Linked DNA regions of Tamandua tetradactyla. The protein of the gene in region 2 interacts with the protein of the main gene of each other region in a biochemical or structural test. Links are inferred from orthologs where the notes say so. Each region holds a gene or a part of one and is shown on either strand. Other genes may lie near its edges.

What was found.
Region 1: of the proteins of CREB1 (region 2) and ATM, one has a biochemical effect on the other in vitro, tested with the Homo sapiens proteins (2 studies listed by BioGRID). The link is inferred for Tamandua tetradactyla from reciprocal best matches to the Homo sapiens genes CREB1 and ATM.
Region 3: of the proteins of CREB1 (region 2) and RPS6KA5, one has a biochemical effect on the other in vitro, tested with the Homo sapiens proteins (3 studies listed by BioGRID, with this or other methods). The link is inferred for Tamandua tetradactyla from reciprocal best matches to the Homo sapiens genes CREB1 and RPS6KA5.

What each region holds. Positions count from the first base shown.
Region 1 is NC_135334.1:33,611,519-33,619,557, forward strand, and holds the start of ATM (serine-protein kinase ATM), read right to left. Parts: upstream 3,160-8,039; 5' UTR 2,880-3,159; exon of another isoform or gene 2,866-2,879; intron 1,971-2,865; 5' UTR 1,941-1,970; coding exon 1,869-1,940; intron 1,792-1,868; coding exon 1,679-1,791; intron 1-1,678. Other genes in the region: protein NPAT, read left to right, coding at 3,531-3,567.
Region 2 is NC_135329.1:182,884,731-182,892,165, forward strand, and holds the start of CREB1 (cyclic AMP-responsive element-binding protein 1), read left to right. Parts: upstream 1-4,405; 5' UTR 4,406-4,526; intron 4,527-4,816; exon of another isoform or gene 4,817-5,326; intron 5,327-7,435.
Region 3 is NC_135338.1:51,712,781-51,720,394, forward strand, and holds the start of RPS6KA5 (ribosomal protein S6 kinase alpha-5), read right to left. Parts: upstream 3,335-7,614; 5' UTR 3,082-3,334; coding exon 2,982-3,081; intron 2,752-2,981; exon of another isoform or gene 1-2,751. UniProt on the Homo sapiens protein: Serine/threonine-protein kinase that is required for the mitogen or stress-induced phosphorylation of the transcription factors CREB1 and ATF1 and for the regulation of the transcription factors RELA, STAT3 and ETV1/ER81, and that contributes to gene activation by histone phosphorylation and functions in the regulation of inflammatory genes.

The DNA.
Region 1 (8,039 bases), on a different chromosome or scaffold from region 2:
GCCTCACAATCTGTTTCTAGTTAGAAAAGGATTTCATGACTGAAAATTATGTCTCTCCGTGGCTGGCAATAAGTTATGTCTTCCCACTGCCTGAGTTTTTTTCTTTTTTTAATATTTTTAATGAGAAATATCCACACACATACCGTCCAACCATATTTTGAGAACATTTACATCATTCCAAAAAAAGAAATAAAAAGAAAAATCTCATACATCCCATACCCCTTACCCCTTCCTCTCATTGACCCATAGTCTTTCAATCTACTCAATTTTTACCCTTTCTTTTCCCCTATTATTTATTTTTTTTATCCCTCCCCCCCTTTTTTACTCATCTGTCCATATCCTGGATACAAGTAGCGTCAGATACAAGGTTTTCACAATCACACAATCACAGTGAAAAGCTGCACAGTTACACAGTGTTCTTCAAGATGCAAGGCTACTGGAACACAGTTCAACAGTTTCAGATACCTTCCCCTAGCCACTCCGATATACCATAAACTAAAAAGGGACATCTATATAAAGCATAAGAATAACTTCCAGGATAACCTCTCAACTGTCTGAAACCTCTCAGCCCCTGAGACTTTATTATCTTTCATTCTCTCTTCCCCCTTTCGGTCAGAAAGCTTTCTCATTCTCATAATGCTGTGTCCTGGATCATGCCCAGCAGTCAGGTCCGACACTGCCAGGGAGAGTTATACTCCTGGGAGTCATGTCTCACGTAGGGGGGAAGGCACTGAGTTCACCTACCAAGTTGGCTTAGGGAGAGAGGCCACATCTGAGTAATAAAAGAGGCTCTCTGAGGGTGACTCTTATGCATAATTATTAATAGGCTTAGCCTTTCCTTTGTATGAATATGCTTCACAGGGGCCAATCCCAAGATTGAGGGCTCAGCCCACTGAATTGGTTGTCCCCATTGCTTGCAAGAATATTAGGAATTCCCCAGATAGGGAAGTTGAACATTCCTTCTTTCTCCCCAGTCCCACAAAGGAACTTTGCAAATACTTTTCTATTTTCTGTCCAAATTACTCTGGGATATATCCCACATTACACTAACCTGTAGAAAAACAAGATCTCATGCCCTATTCAAGACTCCATGTAATTATGGTGTTCAAGTAAACTGACCAGTACAAGGCAAATTACATAAGTTCTACCTAGAATATAAAGTTTGCACTAAATAAACATCTCTCTCTTTGATCTTGAAGAGGTTGAAGTTGAAAATATGCCATTGCCTGAGTTTTGTTTTTTAAATTGTATCCATATGAAAGTTTTCTAATCTTCCTTTATTTACTTCATTATAATCTAGCACATGGTAGTTACTTATACTCAAAAGCAATATTTAAAGTTGTCAAAGTTATAATTAAGTATTTACTATAGCTTAATTTCATTCTCTAATTTGAAATAAAGTCTTATAAACTGACCAAGATGAAAGGAATTCCCTCTCAATTTATCTCGAGTGAGATAAGCCTAAGACATTTTATGAAACAAATGATTTAAAATTTTTAATTTTTCTATATAAACCTCCTTTAAAAACTGTATTTCAGACAAACATATTAAACATTAACTTCATATGCAAGGTACAGTAGTTTATAGAGAGCAAAGATAAGATCACACATAAACCTAATGTGAAAACAACTGAAAATGAAATTGAGAAAAATAAAGGCAAAAAAATTGAATAGAATACCTAAAAACAGCATCCCAGTTCAGATATTTTCCTTGTTTGGAATCTGAATGACGATCCAAATGTTGAACTGTTTCAGGATCTCGAATCAGACGCTTAAATTTCTCAACTTCTTTCTGAAAATGAAAAATGAACATAATAATGGGTTACCAATCATACAACCCTTTAAAGAAAAATTAAAGTAATTTACTACCTTTCGCTCTGTAGCTCTATCATGTTCTAGTTGACGGCAGCAAATAAGCAGATCATTAAGTGCTAAACTCATGGTTCAGAATTTCAGATCACATATAATTGTCTGTAGAAAATACATAAGCATTCAAAATTAGTTTAGACCATGGAATTAATATATAATTGTTACATCTAATTGTGCAAGAGACAAAATGTGACCAAAGGCAAATACTTTTCTTAATATTCCCACATTTAAAATTAAATTCTCTTAGAATGGGTCAAAACAGTGCTTTAACAGGAATATGAAAAAAATAAGAAAAGGATCATTTACTTTTTTTTTAAAGAGATCTCTTCTAAAGAAACATGACGTTTAAGTTGAGACATGAAAGATGAACAGAGATAGTTAAAGCACGAGAAGAGCACTCACGTCTCTTCGACAGGTTCAACTATTAAACAATACCCTTGTTCATTTGTTGTGTTCCAGGAACTATGTTAAAAATGGTACATGAATCCTCAAAACTCTTTGACATAGGAGATTAGTTTCTTTTATTATCGCCGAGGAAATGTTTGGAGAGATGATTCAATCTGCCCAAGATTATACGTTTTATAAGTGGCAGAGAGCCACGACGTGAACCAATTATATCTGACTACAGAGCCATCTGTCAATGGCAGATTTATTTCCAGAAAGATGAGGCGTAGGCAACATTGTCAAATTCCACGAAAGGATCAAATAAACCTAGCTAAGGACTAAAAAGGAACAGCTGATTTGCCAATTCAGGAGGTGGGTTCAAAGCAAGACATTCATAAGAGGGTTCAAGGCTAAATCCGCTAGGGGCGTGGAGACAAGAGAAGGTAATGGGGTGGGTGGTGGAAGTAGAGGTGGGGGGAGGTGTGGAAAGATGAGGTGAAGCAGGTGGCGTAAAGGGACACTCTGGAAGAAAACGTAAAAATGGGAGTCTGGGAGAGAGGACAGAATGGCTCAGATACGAATGAATTCTCCACCGTAGAAAGCAGAAACTTGCCTCCGCGCCCCTACCGCTGAACTGCGACGGTAACGGCACTGGTGGCCAAAGTGGTATCTCTTGACGTGGCGTTGGCTGCAGCTCAAATTCCCGATTTTCTCGCCTCCTCCAGCAGCTGCAGCTGTAGCTTCTCGAACCCGTTATCCATGCGCCTATTCCCGCTTTCGGTTAAAACGCGGCGTGACCGCGCAGCGCGGGTCTTGGGAGGAAGGGGCTCTGCTAAATCCACGCCGACGTACGCTCTGCCCATGCGCGCCAAATATCACGTGCGCTTTCCTTAGCTCAAAATACTCGTCCCAAAACACTTGGCCTCTCTCAGGAAACGCGCCTGCGCCTTTTCCACCAATGGAGAGCGAGCTTTCAATTGACGTTCGATCTCGGGCTCAGTCTCTTACACCCCGCCTCTTTGCCCTTTTCAGCCTCTCCCTTGCTAATATAAGGGCGGAAATGACGACAGTTTCAAGGAGAACGGGGGCGGGTCTCATTTCGGCGCCTTTCTTTCTCTCGCGGAACCGATTGGCTAGCGTGGAGCGAAAGAGGCGGGACAAGTTGCCGCGGGTTCAGTGCCGCGGCTGGAACCGGGAGATGCGGCGCTGGAGCTGTGGTTTGTGTTTGCCTTTACCTGCGTCTCTTCTCTTATTGTGATTCCTTCTGAGACTTCAATCATGTTGTTACCTTCGGATGTAGCCCGGCTGGTACTGGGTAAGCGCGGATGCGAGAGAGAGGGTTACTGGGCCAGGAAAAGCAGGACGGAAGGACCTTTGGGGGCCAAAGGTTTTCCCTGGGCGGGGGAGCTTAGAGGTTTTGCCTCCCCGCCCACAAGTTCAAACCTGGGGTGATTCTGCTTCAGCCGGAGGCTTTGGGCAGTTTAAGACTCTTTGTGCGGGTGCTCTTCAGAGGCTTGCGTAGGAGAGGAGGGCTGACGAGAAGCAGGGGGTGGTACACCTGGGGCCCAGATTCTGAGGGAAAAGTCAGGCCTGGGCACTTAAGTAGAGATACCTGAAAGAGAGTTGCCTACGTGACGAACAGACTGCGCTTTCTTCAACCTTCGAGTTACTTTCGCTGGTCATAGTTGGGTCCGAGCAGTCAAAAGAAGAACTTCCACCGCAGCCGCTTGGCTTTGTAGAGAGATCTTCCTGATGTCCTTCGCATATCTCGCCTTTACACAACTACGAATTTGGGACGAGTGAGGGTGATTCTCTTCTTTTCCCCGCTCTCCGTAATAATTCGGCCGAATAAGTCGATTCCTATTCCTTTGATTAACCAAAAACTTAAGAGAGGAAATGCCTTTTAATTGAATATTTTCTAGCCCTCGGTAGTTTTTCCTCCGTTTGAGGAGAGTTTGTCCCATGGACTAGTTGTCTGTCAGTGTGTATTGTCTTTGTGGGCCACCGGGTTTTGTTGTCCGTCCCCTGAAGGAAGAAAGAGGATTGTACTGCTGAGAACGTGAGACATGTAAAGCTCAAAACCTGAGCCAGTTAAACACAGACAAATGTGACACCCCTAAATGTAAGCAGCAGTGATGAAACCTCTCACAGTGTCCATAGCCTTTACTGCCATTATTTTATCATTAGAAAAACCCATTTGTCTTGTTCCTTTTTTTTTTTTTTTTTACATATCCAGCCCTGTCGAAAAACAACGGTATTTGTACGGCGGCCTTGATGAGCACGTTTGGCATGAAACATTAGAGAGAAATGGTTCCACCCCCCCGTTTGGAGAAACCAATTTAATGACTTAAGTTTAAACGAATATTTGGTTGATCTTTAGCTCGTTTTATCAGGATTGAATAAGGACGTAGTTAACCTGCATCAGTATCTGTCGTAAAAACCTGAGATCTTGTAATTGTTACATTTAATATATGTAAGCCAATCAATAGTATACTTTCACGGTGTACCTTGACATGCTTTATTTTTCCTCATTATTTACATAAGCATTTTGAGTTTTGGCAGTTTTGTAATCCAGTTTAGTTTCAGGAACCATAGTCTTAAACAAGGTTTCTCATCCTCCACAGTATTGACATTTTGGGCCAGATTTTCTTTGTTATGGGGAGGTGTCCTGTGCATTGTGGGATGTTTAGCAATATTCCTAGCTTCGACCTGCTAGATGCCAGTAGGATTCCCCCAGTTGTGACAAGGAAAAATGTCTTAAGACATTGAAAATAAGTTCTGGGGGGAAGGGTGGGGGTGGCAAAATCATCTCTATTTGAGAACTGCTAAACTTATAAAAGCAATTTCAATATCCATTTGGAATACCCCACATCAATTTGTGAATATTTCTTCTGCACAAACTGGCTGCTCTGACTTTTTACCTTTTTTAATGGATAAAAACTCCAGTCATTGTTGTCTTATCCTAAAATTCTTTCTAATCCACATTTTGTGTATTACTTCTTACTTGGGCTTTTTGTCATAGCTTCCCATCCATATAGATTCCTTCTTGCTATTCATCTTATTTACTGTTGTTACAACAATCTTTCTAAAGCATTTGCACTACATCTTCTATTTTAAAAGTTGAAACAATTTTGCACGTACTAAAACTTCAAATTGTGCAAAAGGATATATAGAACAACAACAAAATGGCAAGGTGCCCCACACTCACTGCGCTTGCTTTTTCATTTGGCATAATATTTTGAAGCTCCTTCCAAATCACTACATAAAGGTCTACCATTCTGAAACTTAGTGGCTTAAAATATTAATGTTGTTATTTGCTCATGGTTCTTACTCCCATCCATATCCACCTCCCCTTCAGCTCTTCTCTTACTTATAGGTCCCTTTTCTTCATAAAATTCCTTCAGCCAATTTTTGGGTGCCTAGTATGTTGCAAATGCTGTGCTAATTGCTAAGAATGAAGAGAAAAATAAGATCACCCCTTAGAGTCCACAAAATTAGGTTTTTTACCCTTAAAAACACTTTACTAGATACCACCTCACATTCTATCTAATGCCCTATAGCACCCTTTTACAGTTGAAGCTTATTCAAAGAACAGTGAATTCTACTTACTTGCTCTACTTCCTTATCTACCCTTCTTTCTTCAGAACACTGCACTCTGACTTGTGTGTTTCTTACTCACTACTTTACCTGAACAGCCCTGGTTACTACTCAGCTACAGATAACTATTGCCTTACTGAGATTTCTTTAAATAGTCTAGGCCAAAAATACATCAAAACATAGCTTATTGCTTCTGGCTCGCTAGTTTGGTTTATCAGTATTCATACAAAATGCTTTGTGTAATTTATCCCAATCATGCGTGATCTTAGCTTCTCAACCTCAGCAGTATGCTCACAGCATACCAAGCTATTTGCAATTTCTCCACATGTTCTTATGTATTCTATCCACTTAACCTACAGTGCTTTTCTCCTTCTCTACCTCATACACTTTTACTCTAGTTCAAATCAAACCTGATCTCTGAAACCTCTTCCAAGGTTAGTTAGTATTCTTAAATGCTCTCATAGCATTGTCTGTTACTTATTTTATTGTAGCTATGTGTTTACCTCTTTGTCTTTTTCAGTATTCTTATCTGGAATTAATGGATAGGTTTCAAGAGTTCTGGGCATAACTATTAAAGTTTATGGGCAAGTGGGGGCATTTTTATTTATGAAAAGTCCAGAACTTTCTTATATTCTGAAATAGGTTAATTAGCTTTCTGCATGAGTCATCATCCAGGAAAACATAAACCAGTCAATATGAATCTGTAATGTGGAGGGAATTTAATGAGGAAATTGGTTATATTGGTGATAGAAGAGCTGAGAGGTCAAACATAAGGTGACTCATGTTAGAAAGAGTAAGAAATCAATCTGAAGCAGGAGAACAAAGATAAATGAAGCAACCCAGAGGCTAGATTGACTGTGTGGAACATGAAAAGTGGACCTCTCTAATAAAGGAGCTGATTTCTTCTTTCTGACTTCCAGTCTCCCACCAGTGCTTCCCATTGGCCTACCGCTGCCAGAAGCCAGCAGCTATGGGTGCCTGGAAAACATTGCATGCATGGTATCAGCAGGATTGGCATACTCCCAGACGGTTCAGAGCCAGCTATCTTACCCATTTTAATATCACTGACACATTATATTTAATAATTAGAAAAGCGCACCTGTAATCATGACATTCCTCTTTGTCTGCTGAATAATATCTATGCTCATTGCCCTGACCTTTACAGCTTTCATGATGTGGACCTATTCTGTCTTTTCAGTTGTATATTTACCTGTTCTCCTTCATATTACTTTGTGCTGCATCCAAACTGAAAATGTTCCCCACACTCTGCATTTATGCTTTCCATCAACTCCTCTGGGACTCCCAACAATCCTCTTAAAATATAGTCTAGTTTTCCCCAAACCTGGTAGTAATTCCTCTGGCCCCTGTACTTATTTGAAGCAAGTTAGACCTGTATCTCTTATCACATTTGCTCTGTATTAGTTATTTCTATGTGTTTCTTCTGACCTCTGTGAACAGGGGCCTTCAACTATGTTTCCCCTTCAGTCTGAGTACTCATTACTACATCCATTAGAAAGCAGTCTGAAGATAGTATATTAAGATAAAGGAAATAGGCCGATTTTCTTAATTATTTGTATACCTTTGTTGGTAAGTTCACACAAAAGATATGTTCATTCAGTTTGAAGTTGTTCTTAGGAATAAAAAAGGAGAAAATCTTAAAATTCACATAACTAATATTAACTGAAGGGTATTCATCTGTATTAATAGTGATAAAAGTTAATTGGTGCCTTATTGGTACTTTATTGCAATATTTGAGATTTAGCATAATCTGTGCCTAAAATTTTCCCTTTTATCCTGAATGAGAGTTGGTTAAGATCAAGAAGTTGATGATAAATAAGTATTTTGTAGGCAAAAAACTGATTAACCATATATATGTGCAAGCATGAACGTAATCAGTTATTTTACCGCATTATTTTGAACAAAATAGGACAAAAGTAAATTAAAATACATGAAGTTAATCTGAAATATGAATTTAATACTACCTAACCTCCAACATCACTTTTGATCTTTCATCCTTCTTGTTAGGGGTGTTTGGGCTATGGCCATTCTAAATTTTTCAGATTGGAAGGGTTTGTTACTAATATGGGGTAAGGAGATGAAATTATGTTATGTTATGGATAGGCTGGGCCCTCTAGATTTCAGGACTTATCTGGACGAGAGACCCATCTGGAGGTTGTAGATTTCTGGAAA
Region 2 (7,435 bases):
TGGTAAAGTTTTAAAGGAAGTGAGAGGATACACTCTCTAGATATTTGGAAAAAACACTTTATGCACTGAACAGCCTCAAGGTACTAAAACAGAAGCATGCCTAGTATGTCTGAGGAACAGCAAGGGGACCAGTATGGATACAATGAAGCAAACAAGTTCAGAAAAGTAGCAGGAGTGAAGATAAGAGAGGCACTAAAAGGGACAGATTCTGTAGGACCTCAGAGGCCATTATAAGGATGTGAGCTCTTACTCTTTAAGAAAACGGAGCCACTACGGGATTTTTGAGCAGAGGAGTAATATAATTTGACTTACATTTTAAACTGACGACTATGAATACTGTGCTGAAAATTGGTTGTAGTGGGCCAGGGAAGAAGTAGGGAGACCTTTCAGGAAGTATCGCAGTAATCCAGGCAAGAAAAGGTAGACCAGGCTCACAGACATAGCAGTGGAGATGGTGAGAAGTAGTGTTTTGGGATATATTTTGTAGGTACAGCCAACAGAACTTACTGATAGATGTGGGATGTGAGAGAAAGACATCAAGAATCATGCCCAGATTTTTAACCTCAGCAACTAAGATGGGAAAGGCTATAGGTACAGAATATATGAAGAGCATCTGTTCAGTTTTGGACCTGTTAAATCAAAGGCACCTGTTTCTTTCAGCTTCACTTGTAAGGCCAACCCCAGGCAATCAAACAGTACCCTATCCTACCAACCAACCCCAGGCAGTGACAGTCTCATAGCACTTTGCCTTCTGCTTGGGTCACATATCTCATAGGAGGGTTTCTTTGGTATGCATATAAAATGGAAGTGGGGCAGGGATGTCAGCAACCAAATTGGCTGAATTCTGACCACCTCCTCTAACTCACTTTTTTTCCCTATCCTCATTTCCTTGGAATTTTGTGCCCTAATAAAATAGCATAGAAGCTTTTGCCTCAGGTTCGCCTTCTGGATGAATTCAGGCTAAAAGAACTTCCAGATATGAATAGGTAGTTGTTAACATGAGTCTGGAGTTTGGGAGAGTGATTTGGTGGAGAAGATATAATTTTGAGAGCTGCCAACATATATGTGGTATTTACAATTATGGAACTGGATGAGAGTACAAAGGAGTGAACACAGATAATGTGAAACATGAAGATGATGACAGGTTGAAAATTTTAGCATATTTAATGTTTTGTTTACTAGTGCTTATTCCCTAAATATTTTTGGAATAAATGAAACAGGTCACCATGGCCTTGGAAAATCAAGTCATGAGAGATGATGAACTAGGGAACAGGCAGGGTCATGGAACTTGAGATCATGGTAAGGGTAAAAAATAGGTTCACCAACGGAAGCAAGAGAAAAGAACAGGAAAAGGAAGTTGTGGTTAGAGAAAAGCACTCAAATATCACTTTATCATTTATTATCTACTGATGGAACCTTCCCTCTTTCCCGGACCTCTTCCACGACACTTATCTTATTCTATGTCAGGTTATGTCCATGTATACTCCTTTCATCTTCTCAAAATTAACCAGATTTCCCAGTTAAGAAACTGAGTCAAACATGGAATTCCAGAGACAAAAATTGAATGTTGAAAGTTTTCCATTTCTAGTTTTATGTCTTTGGTTTATGAAGATGCTAGAGCAGAAAACATGAAATTGGGAGACCAAATTTCAAATCTAGAACATACCCAAAATGTTTAGTGAAACAATTTGCACTTGAATGACCAAATGAATGAGTGAATGGACAAAGCTAGGTAGGAATAGAAGACACTAAGGGAGAAATTGAGGAGAGTATGATTTAATAACTGTTTGAGCCCCACTGGATGGACACTAGGGCATGAATCAAGAGGGGGAAAGGGTGTGCTGTCAGAGGCACCTAGGAAACTGGCAAGTAACTGATATTTGAGGGGACTGGGTCTAAACCAAGATCAGTATGAATGGAATAGAAAGATGAACGTGAGGAAATTTTAAAACAAAACATTACCAGATTTGGTGGGTGATACATACAAGCATGAATAGATAATTCCAAGAATTTGTTACCATTTATAGGGACAGAAAGAATTTGTTACCATTTATATAGGGACAGTAAGAAGAAAGATAATGGTTAAGGTAGGGAGATAAAGAGCTCAATTTTGAAAATGTATTTGACATAATGGTGAGATGTTCATAATAACAGTAATAGCTAATATTTTTATTAGTATTTGTTACATGCCACTCACTGTCCCAAGTACACCTCACATAAATAATCTTATTTAATCATCACAATAACACTATAAGGTAGATGACATTATCATTCTTATTTTACAGATGGAAAAACTGAGGCACATGAGTAAATAATTTGTCCTAAGTCACACAGGTAGTAAGTGACTGAGCCAAGATTTGAACCCCAAAATATTAAGAAACTGCCTGAGATCACACAGATATTTATTTATTTATTCAATAAACATTTAATAAGCACCTCTATGGTTTAGACATTGTACTGGTTTTAGGGATAGTAGGAGAGAGGAGGGGAAAAGTTGCCAGTGAACAAGACAGACATGGTCCCAACCTGCATTGACCTTATAGATTAGCTGGGTAGAAAGACACTAAACAAGCAATTACAAGTATAATGAATCAGAAAAGAAAAGTGGTAAGTTACAATTAGGTAGAAGTTGATGATAGAAAATAATTCCAGACAAAGGGAATGGCATATGTAAACGCCTTGAGATGAGACCCTACGGTAGGGAAAAGTAAGAGAAGAGAGACTGGAAAAAATGAAAAATAATAATATGGCTGGAGTTCAAAGATCTAGGAGGACAACTGGGGATGTAAGGGAGAAAGATAAGCTCAGGAATGGGGGCCTGGTCTCCACGAAAAGTGCAGACTGTGTTTGGTAAGCAGTGAGAAACAACTTAAGTGATTTTAGCAGGGTAAATCAAATGACTTTAGTCAAGGTGACTTGACTAGATTTGTATTTTTAAAATGATTATTCTGGCTACAGTGTGGCAAATGGTTTGGAATGAAGCAAGTACACTTTTGGAGTACCTGGATGGTGGTTAATACAGGACTTCAAGCAAGAGGTAAAGGTAGCCTAAACTAGAGAGTGAGTGAAAAGGTGGCCATGGGAACAGTGAGGTGACAAATCCAAGAAATATTCATTAATATTTCACTTAGACAGGTCTAAATGATTCTGAGGTGTATCACAAGTATCCCAGGAGTTTGGCTTGAACTAGGTAGATGGATAGCATGCCCTTTACTGAATCTAGGACTATGGGAGGAGAGTGTTGAAGGAAAGATTTGATATATATATACATATATACATATATATACAGAGTAAGTCTGATGTGCCCCAGCCATCCAAATGAAAATGTAGAATAGGCAGTTGAAAACACTAACCTAGAATTCCAAGAGCAAAATCGAGGCTTGAAGTATGGATTGCAAAGTCTTTGATAGAGGGCATCAGAAGCCAATGGGAGATGAGATCATGTGGGAAAACATCTATGGTAAGACTCAAGAAGAGGAGAGCTCAGCTCAGCAGAATTCCAATATTTAAGTGCTGAATAAAGGAGAAGGAACTGGTTATTAAAGAGCAGTCAGAGGGTTAAGAGGAAATTTTTGACATGAGAGCTGAGGGAATAGCCTATTTGGAAGAGGATGTGATCATAGTGTCAAATGCAAGGATGACTAGATTTAAACGACTAGATTTAGAGAAAGAAGCTTGTCTGTCACAATTCAGAGCTGTTTCAGATTAAAGGGTAAGAACAGACGCAAGACTGGAGAGCTGAGTGGAATGTAAGAGAATGTCCATAAAGTAGAGAACAATTGGGGTTCTGGTTGGACAGGATTGTATGGAGAAGAGAATCTTTTTTTTTAAATGAGATGAGACTTAAGCATGTTTAAATGCTGATGGGAAAGAGGCCATAGAGAAAGAACCACTGAAAATACAAGAAGGAAAAGGAGATAACTCTTTAGCCTAAAGCCCCTGAGAAGGTTGGCATCAAGGGTACAAGCTCCAGGAAGGGCAACTCTTACTCTCTAACAGGAAGCCAATAAGTGGCAGACCCCGGATTTGAACTCTCTTTGTGTGCTTCTAAAACATATATTTGCTTTGTGGGACAGAAAGAGAATTAATAGACATGAAAGCCCGGGAAGAACTGCAGAGTTCAATAAAAAGGAGAATAGTCAGTAGTGTGGCCTTGGACGACCTCTGAGAAAACGCTTTCGGTAGCGTGGACGCAACGGAAGTCACACTGTCCGGGTCTGGGGAGGGTGAGTGGTAAAGAAAAGCGTGCGGTGGGTGCAAACCCCTGAGGTAGAAAGCAGGCCGTGAAAAGGGAGTGACACAGGATGTTGTCTGAAGGCGCGCGGGTTGGGAGCTATTTTGAGTGTCGAAGAGCAGCCTGGGTCAAGACGGACAGATCACGCTCAGAGAAGGCCTCCGAGGGCAGGTGAGGTCACCTGCGGCCCTCTGCCGGTGCTGCTGGGTTGATCTCCGCAAGGCACCACCAGTCCCGGAGTTGCAGTTGAATGGGGACGGAGGATAAGAACAGCTCCACCCGCAGCCGCCAGGTTTTTCCGCTGATTTTCGTTGTAGGACAGTCTGGCCCCTCCCTACGGAGACCCTAAAATCCCCCAGGTCCCTTCCGAATAGTGCAGCGTCCTTGCGTCCCAGCGCCCGGCCCGGGCCCGTGACCCGGGGGCGTTTACAGGGGGGCAGCGACCCCTTCCTCCCTGAGCAAGCTTGTCCCGAGCACTCGAGTCGCGTCCCAGGCCAAGTGGCCCGTCTCCCACGTCCCGGCAGGGTTTGACACTCCCCGGGGCTGCCGGCGCCGGGGAACAGAGGCTGAACCGCCGCTTACCGCCGGAGAGACAGGACGGTGCGCCAGGTTCCGTCAAGTCTTCGCACCCCACGGGAATTCCTCATGGGGCCTCACACAAACCCCACTTCCTCCGTCAAATTTCCGAGGCCGAGTTTTACACACAGACAGGCAGCTGTGGGGTTTAGACCGACACCTAACGCCTGTCTCTCTTGGCGGAACGCCTTCGCCTCGCGCGAAGACCTTCGGCAAGTTCCGCCTCCAGCGCAGAGGGCGGGGCCGCTCGGTCTCCTTCGGGATGGGCTCGGTTGTTTCCGTGCGCGGCCGCTGCGCACTCGGCACTGGGCGGCGCTGGCTGGCTCCCTGGCTGCGGCTCCTCAGTCGGCGGCGGCTGCTGCTGCCTGTGGCCCGGGCGGCTGGGAGAAGCGGAGTGTTGGTGAGTGACGCGGCGGAGGTGTAGTTTGACGCGGTGTGTTACGTGGGGGAGAGAATAAAACTCCAGCGAGATCCGGGCCGCGAACGAAAGCAGTGACGGAGGAGCTTGTACCACCGGTAAGAGGAGCAGGAGGAGGAGGCAGGAGCCGCAGAGAGCCAGGGGGACGGAGGGGGGACAGGGAGGCGCCGGACACCCGCGCTCAGGGCCTTCCCCTCGCAGGAGGGGCCGCGGTAAAGATGGAGCCTCGGCCCGAGCCCCACAACATCGCCGCCGCTCGCAGCGAACAAAGAATAATGGCGGCGGACTGGAGCCAGCGGCGGCCGGGGCGGCAGCGACTCTGCCTGCAGCCAGCGGCGGCGCTCATGGCGGGGGGCGGCGGGCTGCGGGCGGGGTGGGAGCCGGCGGCCGGGGGTGTATGCGGGCGGCCAGCCGCGGCGAGCTGGCGCCCGCGTTCCCGCCGCCGCCGCCGCTGCCGCCTGACCGGGCTGGGCGGGCGCGGAGCCGGGAGCCGGGAGCTGCCCCGGGGGAGGCCGCCCGCCAGACCCAGCGCGGCCCCCCGCGCCGCTCGCCTGGGCTCCGGCCCTCACCTCGCCCCCGGCCCGGCAGTCTGCCGTGGCAGCCGCCACCGGGGTGCCCGTGGTGGGTGGAGAAGGAAGAAGGCGACAGTTGAGGGCAGGGGAGGTGAAGGTGGTGCTGCCTTCCCGGTAGCCTCCGTGTCTGCCATGCCCGCTTCGCGAGGGGAAGAGCTGCAACGTCTGACCTACTCTTCACTCTCTTTGTGCAATAAAGTTCGAAACCGAAGGTTTCCTTTTGTATGTATTTTATTTATGCTCTCTTCACCCCGTCCTGCTCCTACCCCATTGGGCAAATGCTGTTTTCTGCTTAGTTGAGGTGATAAGAGTTCATTCTTTTTTAAATAATTATTTACGCTTTTTCTCAACCCCCTCCCTTTTTCTTTTTAAGTTAGTAGTCGTGGAAATGCATTCTTTCTGGGAGGAAAGGGTACTAAGAAAACCATTTTTGTAATAAAAAAAAGCTGTTGGGATCTTGTAAAAGGGAAGCTGGGGTTTGAAACAGTTTCGGTTTTAACCCTTTTCAATAAGGTAATAATCACTTGAGGTTCATTATTCTGAAACACTTCGTTAAAGCGGACATAAGGTGATCGCACTTACGTTTTACATCGCTTTTTTCGAGGTTGGGGGGCAACCTTGCCGACGGCTTTTGGGTCGTTTGGATTTCCTCCTACCCCCCCATCCCGCCCCACCCTTCGCCATGTTTCCCACACATTTCTGTCTAAACTTAAATAAGAGATTGATACTGTTTCTAAAAATAGGCATTAAAAAATTTCGCTACTTGTATCGCATGCTGTGGTTTATACCAGTCTGGGATTAACAACAATTTAAGCCATAAGACTTTTTCTTCACCTGTTGGAAAGAAAGGGACTGCATAAAAGTCATTGACATCTTAAAGACAATTTATGAAAACCTGGAGTGTGACCTATTTAAGTTTGTCGTACCTTTCCAAGAAGTTAGAATCTCATTCTAGCCTCAGCTATCAATAAGGTCGACCTTATAAAGGTTTCGAAGAAGATACTTTAGGCTGCTGACTGTTGAAATCTTTACATTGACTGCTCATTTCCCAAGAACAATTATTTTCGGTGGTGCGAAAGATAAAACAGTTATATGTTTAAAAAAACTTATCTGTCACAGTAGATAGAAAATGTGATTGATACATACAGGACCTCTTGTTAATGGTAAATATTGATTGGGAGTAGAAGCACCGACTCTTGATTTTTCTGAATCCAAGTTTCTTTTACGAAAACTATTTTGCTGTATTGCTAGTCTTTGAAAGACAACATTAGCAGTTTGTCATTGCTGAGAAACCTAATTAAGAAGATGCAGTAAAGGGAGTTGTTCTGTTAGAATTGGGATAATGATTTTATTTCTAAAGTTGAGAAAATTATTATATTTGCTTATGGTAAATTACTATTGAAGAAGAATTTTTCCTTGAGAAAGGTTTTCTGCAAGCAAACATCTAGAATTTTTTCTATAAAGAATACACTGTGTTGACAGTACACTTTGTGAAATTAAAAAAAAGTTGTTTTCTGATGTGTTATTTTCTTCCTGGTCTTGTCCAAAAGATCTTTTAAATTTTGTTTTTATTTACAGGTTCATAATTTGTGATTTTGTGCAATTCTAGGGGGAAACTTTTGAAGCTTTTATGTT
Region 3 (7,614 bases), on a different chromosome or scaffold from region 2:
GAGATGCAGAGCCCAGCAGATGTCACCACGTGCCTTCCCATGAGATGCTAAGCAAGCCAGAACCCAGAGCTTTGTCCCAGAAGAACTAAGTGAAGGTCCACAGACCCTTAGAGAGGAAACTACCGGCATTAGGCATTAGAAGCTGAAAGCAACGGAATGGGGAATAAGGACCAACAGACGCTAGCCATGTGCCTTTCCATGTGACAGACACTGGCCTTTCTTGAGTCAAGGCATCTTTTTCTGGATGCCTTAGTTTTGACATTTTTATGGTCTTAGAGCTGTAAATTTGTAACTTAATAAACTCCCTTTTCAAAAGCCATTACACTTCTGGTATATTGCATTCAAGCAGAATTTAGCAAACGAAAATAGGACTGCAACAAACTGTCAGAACTGGTCCTGGATTTTCAAGCATTCAATTAAATCATTCAACATTATTTGAGTACCTACCATATGTCAGGGACTGAAAATGGACAGAGGATATGGTATAATGCCCTTAAGTACCTTACAGTCTAGCATAGACAAGTAAATGATTATTATAGCACCATGTGTAAATGTTTCTGAAAAGATACGCACCGGCTCTCAGTAGGAGCAGAAGAATTTAAGCTCCTGGAGAAGGCAAGAAACATACAGAAAAAGGCACCATCCAGGCAATGTGGCATAAGCTAAGGACCAACTGAGTGATTTGGATTGATTTGCATGCAAGATATTGTTATGAGGTGATGCTTAGATTTATATTCAACACTTACTGTTTAGCACTTGCCCAACAGTGTTTCATTTAACTGTCACATTTTGTAGATGAGAAGTCAGTCTTAAGAGAGTCTGTACAGCTTGTAAGCAGCAAAACTGGGATTTAGAATTAAATGCTCCACTCCATGTCCATGTTTGTCATGCTATTCTCTCTATACAACTGGAGTAATTTCCATCCCTTACATGTGACTTTTATTGCTTTTTACTCACTCTTCAGCATAAATGGGCAATCACCAACTGGGACTTGGTATGACTATATACTTGTCTACATTTTGAGAAGCAAGAGACCATATTAGATCAAATTACTTCGGTGCCTATTATAGTATCATGTGCTAACAGGAGTGCAGTTGGCTGAAGATGAGCAAATCTTCTTGTTATATTTTACCAGTGTTTTTCATCACTATATCCGGTCAGTTGTTCAGTGTTCAGCAGTAAGTCAAAATGACTGTTCATTTCCTTTGACAGTTAACAGTACTGATTAATTCAGTATAATCTCACCATCCATCAGAAAAATTTCTAAAATGCAAACTTGAAGCAGATGATTCACACAGTAGAGAAGGGGAAATAAAGCAGCACTCATTGTTTTCTACAAATTTAACATTGTTTGCAAACCCAGAAACTAAGCAGTTGGTTGACTACTACTCCTCAGTAGGTTGCTTCTTGGTCATTTAGCAAAACACTGCTTGTTACACCATGGTAAATGGCTAAAGGGAATATGATTTCTAGTAGCTTTTTCTGTACATCACAACTCTACCATCAGAATCAGTGAACTATTTTGTAAGACAAGAAAAAGAAATTCAAAATCTCCACAGCAGAAAGCACCTAATCCAGAGTCTGGTTTAAATCAGATAATAATAAATGGTTATAGAGTAAATGATTTATTAACCCTTTGAAAAGATCAACTGTTTACTAAATCGAGAGAGAAAAACAAACCCATCTAGGTTAAGCTATGAATTCAAAACGATTACGGAGTTACTGGCTCAAGTATATGAGATTCACAAAGATCACAAACAATAATTTTTTTAAGTTGAATTAAGGCATGAATACAATGTATGTCTTAAGTCACCACACTGGCCTCAATGGAATGCTAACCAGCAATCACCTTAAAAATAACAAAAACTAAAAGAAGGAGAAACAGAGCTACCTTTACAATCTGTTCAAAACAGAAACAAAAGATGTACATCTGAAATTTGTTGTATAAACTTTGTCTACATAATAAAATATGCCAATGTTACAAATGAGTTGTTACCGACAGCCTTAACAAATGCCTCAAAAACATTTAATAATAAAGGTGGATAATTCTAATTTAAAGTATATTTTCTGTTCAGAAATGAAAAAGGATCTCTAATAAGAGATTAGGGTACACAAATATAAATCCAAACTGTACTGATTAGTCCAAATAAGCACTTTCCAAAATGAACAATTCATATCCACATGCAACGAATAAAGTAATTGAACAAGTATAAAGCTCAGAGCAACTCCAGCGATATCAAATACTAGGAAGGAAGCCCGTAAGCCAGCTAGCTAGTCGCTGTACACCTAGAGCTTTAAATGTACAGAGCCTTCATCTCAAGAGTCAAAAATTCCAGGCCAGGTGTAGTGTTTCACGACAATTGTAAATAAAAGCATTTAGTCCCTGGAGCCTGCGATCCCTTCCTTATTCCACTGGAGACCGGACTTACAAAAGCCGGAGGAACAGCCGCCCATTTATCTCGTACAGGAAGGACCACAGCACCTTAGGAGATGGTTCCACAAACCCCATAGGAAAACTCACGGGAAGCAGAGGGGTGGAGTGAGTCACGCACCAAAACAAAGTATCGGTCACCCCATATTGAGAAAGGCGCATCTTTCACCCTAGACAGGATGCTGTGACAGATATGTCACCTGTGCGGGAAGGGGGGAGGGAAGACATCCTCAGAGACAAGTGCCAACAGCTGTCGGCTGCTTCGAGGACCCCAGCGCCCCACGCCCGCCGCTCATTCCCGGGCTCCCAAAAACTTTTGGCCCGGCTACGTCAGGCGCGCCCCTATCTCCCCACATTTCCCCACCCCAAACCCTGGCTCCCGCCCAGCCCCCGACAAGGCCCCGCCCCGGGCCCGCCCCTCGACGCCCACCGCTCCCGCCCGCAGCCCGGGGAAGCCCCAGCCCACCGCCCCCCAGCCCCACGCGGGTATCCGCGTATCCCCAGGGCACCCTCGCGCCCGGCCCGGCCGGCAGAGGGCGGGGTGGCTCACCCGTCCGCAGCTCGTGCTTGACCGTGAGGAGCTGCTCCTCCCCGTCGCCGCTGGCTCCCGCCGCGGTGGCGGTGCCGCCGCTACCTCCCTCCTCCTCCATCTTCTCCCTTCTTCCGACCCCACGGGGTCGTTACGAGGGGAACCCGGGAGACAGAGGACGCCTGGCCGCTCGCAGACCCTGCTGCAGCCCCAGGTGCCGAGCTGTAGCGGTTCCAGAACTCGGACTCACAGACGAGTCTCTTTCCCGCTCTGGCCGCACGGCTCGCTCCTCCGCCTCCTCCCCCTTCGGCGGGCACCGCTAGTACCGCGCAACCAAACCGCCCCCTGCTCCACCGCCTCCTCCTTCGAGCCGCTCCGCCCACAACAATCAAGGTAGAGGAGCCTTTCGAACCGCCATCGCTTATTGGGCATAGGGCGCGCGCATCTGTCAACGCCGGCTCCCATTGGGCAATTCTTTCTGACGTTACAGGAGCCGCCCCGCCCCTCTCCTCGAATTGTTGTTGCTTGGCGGGGAGGCAGGAGAGGGAGGAGCGCGACCACTCCGATTGGTGGAGGCCTGTTCTTCCCTTTGGAGCTTTCCTTTAGTGCGCATGCGCTGTCAAGACCTTCCCTTCCCTGACCCCCTGAACGGTCACACCCCTTATTCCCCAGCTTCTATCTGTTAGTAAACAGTGTCTAGTAGTCAGGAGGCTCTCGGGCTCTTTGATTGGCTGCTGCCGAAAGAGGCGGAGAGGGCTGATTGGTACATTTGATCCGCCAATCACCGTGGAGAGAGGCGGGACCTGAAGGGAAGCGCCCCTCACCCACGTGTTTACTGACACACCAGGGTCCCAAACAGCAAACATTCTGAAGTGTGTGACCAGCTGGAAGACAGCGTGGCCTAAAGAGGCGTTACTCTCTCTGGTAAGTCTTAAAATACAAGTCGTTCTTAGAGATTACAACATTCACAAAACCAGGTCCGTTGAAGAATTTTGCAATTTCCTTTTCGTACAAGGCATTTCCTAGATGCTAAAAGAATACAGAAACCCGTTAGAAGCTTTCAATAGAACGGGAAACACAGACGATCTGTGTGTATATGCACGGGAAATTATAATATAAGGCAGAATTTGAAATAGAACAGTGTAAAAAGTGTTAGAGAATCCACAGAGGGCAACGATTATTCCCAGTAGCGGAGGTGGGGAAGGCTTTTAGGAAAAGGAGGCATTTGAGATAACCAACTTAAAGGATGGGCAGGATAGACCTCTCGCCTTCAGATATTTCATACAGAGGTGATAATTGTGAGCACAGGCCAAGAATTAGAGTAGGCGGAGGAGGTGGGTAGCTTGCCAGCGATGCTGTAACAAATACTGCACACTGATTGGGTTAAACAACAGGAATTTATTGTCTCGCAGTGTTGGAGGCTAGACGTCCAGAATCAAAGTTCCAGCAGGACAGACTTTGCTTTCTCCAGGATTCTGCAGCCTTATAGCTTGCTGGTAATTCTTAGGGTTGGTTGCCATGTATCTCTACCCCCCCCCCCCACAAACACCTCACCGCCCCCGCCCCCCCCACCCCCACCCCATCCCGGCCATCACATGGCAATCTCTCTCATTCTCTGTCTTCTACTAACTGACTGTGTCCGGGATTTCCTTTGCTTATAAGGATTCCTGTCATATGGCTTAAGGCCCATACTGATTCAATTTCGCTATATCTGAATAAGATCGTGGAAGATCCTATTCACAAATGAGTCTACACCTTAACTATAACATCTTAAAAGGTCCTATTCACAAGTAGGTTCATATCCACAGGCCCTGGGATTAAGGCTTCCACATGTTCTATATGGGGGACAGGACTCAATCCCCAACAGGTAGATTAAGTGATTGATAAGGCTGGTTGGAAGAAATACAGGTGAAAAGTAAAGTATGATAGGATAATGAAGAATCTTGAATATACTGCTAATACGCAATGAGAAGACTCAAAGAGTAGTTTTTTGGAAGTAAGCTTTTGGTTGCAGTGAGAAGGATGGACAAAAGAGAGGAAGAGAGAAATGGCAGGGCATGAACACTTGTAAGGATAGAACTACTGAGGGCCTAATTTCTGGAAGAGAACATGAGACTGGAGAAAGGATAGGCTGAAAGATCTACACTTGCACGTAGTTCACATAGATGTTATCTTTTAAATGGATGAGATCACGGATCACAAACTTTTTCCAAGGGCCAGATAGTAAATAGTTTAAGCTTTGCAGGTCATATGGTCTCTTTCATACCAATTCAACTCTGCCATTCTAGTTCAAAAGCATTCAGAGACAATAAGTGAACTGTGTTCCAGTAAGACTTTATTTATGGATATTGAAATGTGAAGTTCAATAGTTTTCACATCCGGAGACCCGGATTCGATAACTGGTGCCTGCCCATGCAAAAAAAAAAAAAAAAAATCACATGTCATGATATGTTATTCTTTTAATTGTTTTTGAACCATTTAAAAATGTTAAAACCATTCTTAGCTCGTGGGCTGGCACAGAAACAGGTAGTGAGCCACATTAGATCCACAGCCCATAGGTTGCCATCCCCTGGATTAGATTGTTGGAGAAGAGAAAGCACAACCTAAAGGCTTGTTGGGAGCTCTTTACGTTGCCCCCCATAGCTCCCTAGTCTTGCCTCCCTGGAATGCTTATCACACTAAACCATGGCTACCTACTTAATTGTTTTTCTCCTCTACAAGTTGCAAGCTGTTTGAGCCAGGGACTGACTGTGTGCAGTCGTTCATTTGTTCACTCAAAACTTTTTATGCCAGTTAATATACCAAGTGCTTGATATATGCTAGAGACACAGTGGGAGCAAAGTGGATGCAATCCTTGCTCTCACAGACTCTGCAGCCCAGAAATTGAAGTAAATATTAAATAATCACATAAAGAAATTTTAAATGTCAACTGTGATCATGCTGTAAAGGAAAATTATAGGTTACTACAATAGAGTACTTCAGGGGATCCTAATTTAGGTTGACGGCCTAAGGAAGTAGTATTTAAGCTTTATCTATAAAAGCAGTAGGTTTTAACCAGTATGTGGCAGCTGCTTACCAATCTCCTTTCCTCTTCCTGGACACACAGGAAGACTACTTTTTTTTTTTTTCTTTTTAGCCTCCTTTGCATTTAGGTTACGATCGTATGACTGGGATTTGGCCACTATGGTGTTGGTGGAACTGTTCTCTGCCATTTCCAAAGCTGGCCAGAAAACAGCATGCATGATCACTCACACTCTCTTCTCTTTCTACAGAAACCACAAAGGCCACATTTTTATATGGTGAGGCCACAGTTTGGAAGGAGCCTAAACCCCTGAGTCCTCACTTGAGGAAGAGCCACCTGACCTACATCAGGCAGTGAAGTGAGCAATAAGGAAATCTGTTTAGTTTTAAGCCACTGATATTTGGGGGTTGTTTGCTACCAAAGTTTAATCTAGCCTACCCTGACTTTTGCACAGGTCCTTGTGGAGAATTCAAGGAACAGTCAGGCAAAGAGCCTGTTGTATTTTAGAAATTGAGAGAAAGCCATTGGGGATACAGCACAGTAAGCAAGAGGTGAGGTGGACAAGGTAGGGAGAGGCCTAATCACGAAGTATGTAGTTGGCCTTATTAATATTTTTTGAAGTTTATCCCATGTGAAATGGGAAATGAGAGCAGGAATTTCATTGTCATGGTCTTTTAAAAAGGTCACTGTGGTTAGTGTTTGGACTGTATGGAGCAAGGGACCATCACTCTAGTTTGGGCAAAAGACAATAGTGAGTGTGGTACATCTGGAGAGGAATGGAATATCTCTAGATATATATGTTGGACTTCATGAGGAATTGGATTTGGTAAGTGTTCTAGTATGAAAGCTGTTGGAATGTGATATACCAGAAACAAACAGCTTTTTAAAAGGGGGAATTTATTAAGCTGAAGTTTATAGTTCTAAAGCCATGAAAATGTCCAAATTAAGGCAAGGGTATGAAAATGTCCAACTTAAGGCACCAACAAGAGGTTACCTTCACTCTAGGAGGGCCAACAAAGTTCTGGATTTTTTCTCTCAGCTGGAAAGGTACATGGCAATGTCTGCTAGGTTTTTCTCCCTGCATCTTGTTTCATGAAGCTCCCCTGGGGGCGTCTTCCTTCTTCATCTCCAAAGGTTTCTGGATGCATGGGCTGTCATGGTTCTAAAGCTTTTTCAAAAATGGTTCCCTCTTAAAGGACTCCCGTAAGCAACCCCACCTTGAATGGGTAGAGAGACATCTCCATGGAACCATCTAATCAGAAGTTACCACCCACAATTGGGTGGGTCATATCTTCATGGATAATCAAAAAACTCCCACCCAGCAATATTGAATAAGGATGAAAGGACATGGCTTTTCTGGGGTACACCACATATTCAAACCAGCACAGTAAGTGAGGGGAAAAAAAGTGTCTGAAATGATACACCAAGGATGCTAGCAGGAGCAACTGTGTGGATGAAGGGATGGTGGTACTATTTAATGAGAGGGGCTGATTATAGGACAAAAATATTTCAGGGAGAATATCAAGAGTTTTTGAGATATTCTACGCCAATATTCAGTAGCTATGTGGAACTCAGAAGAGAGATTAAGGCTAGAGATATAAATATAGGAATCACCAGAATGTAGATGATATT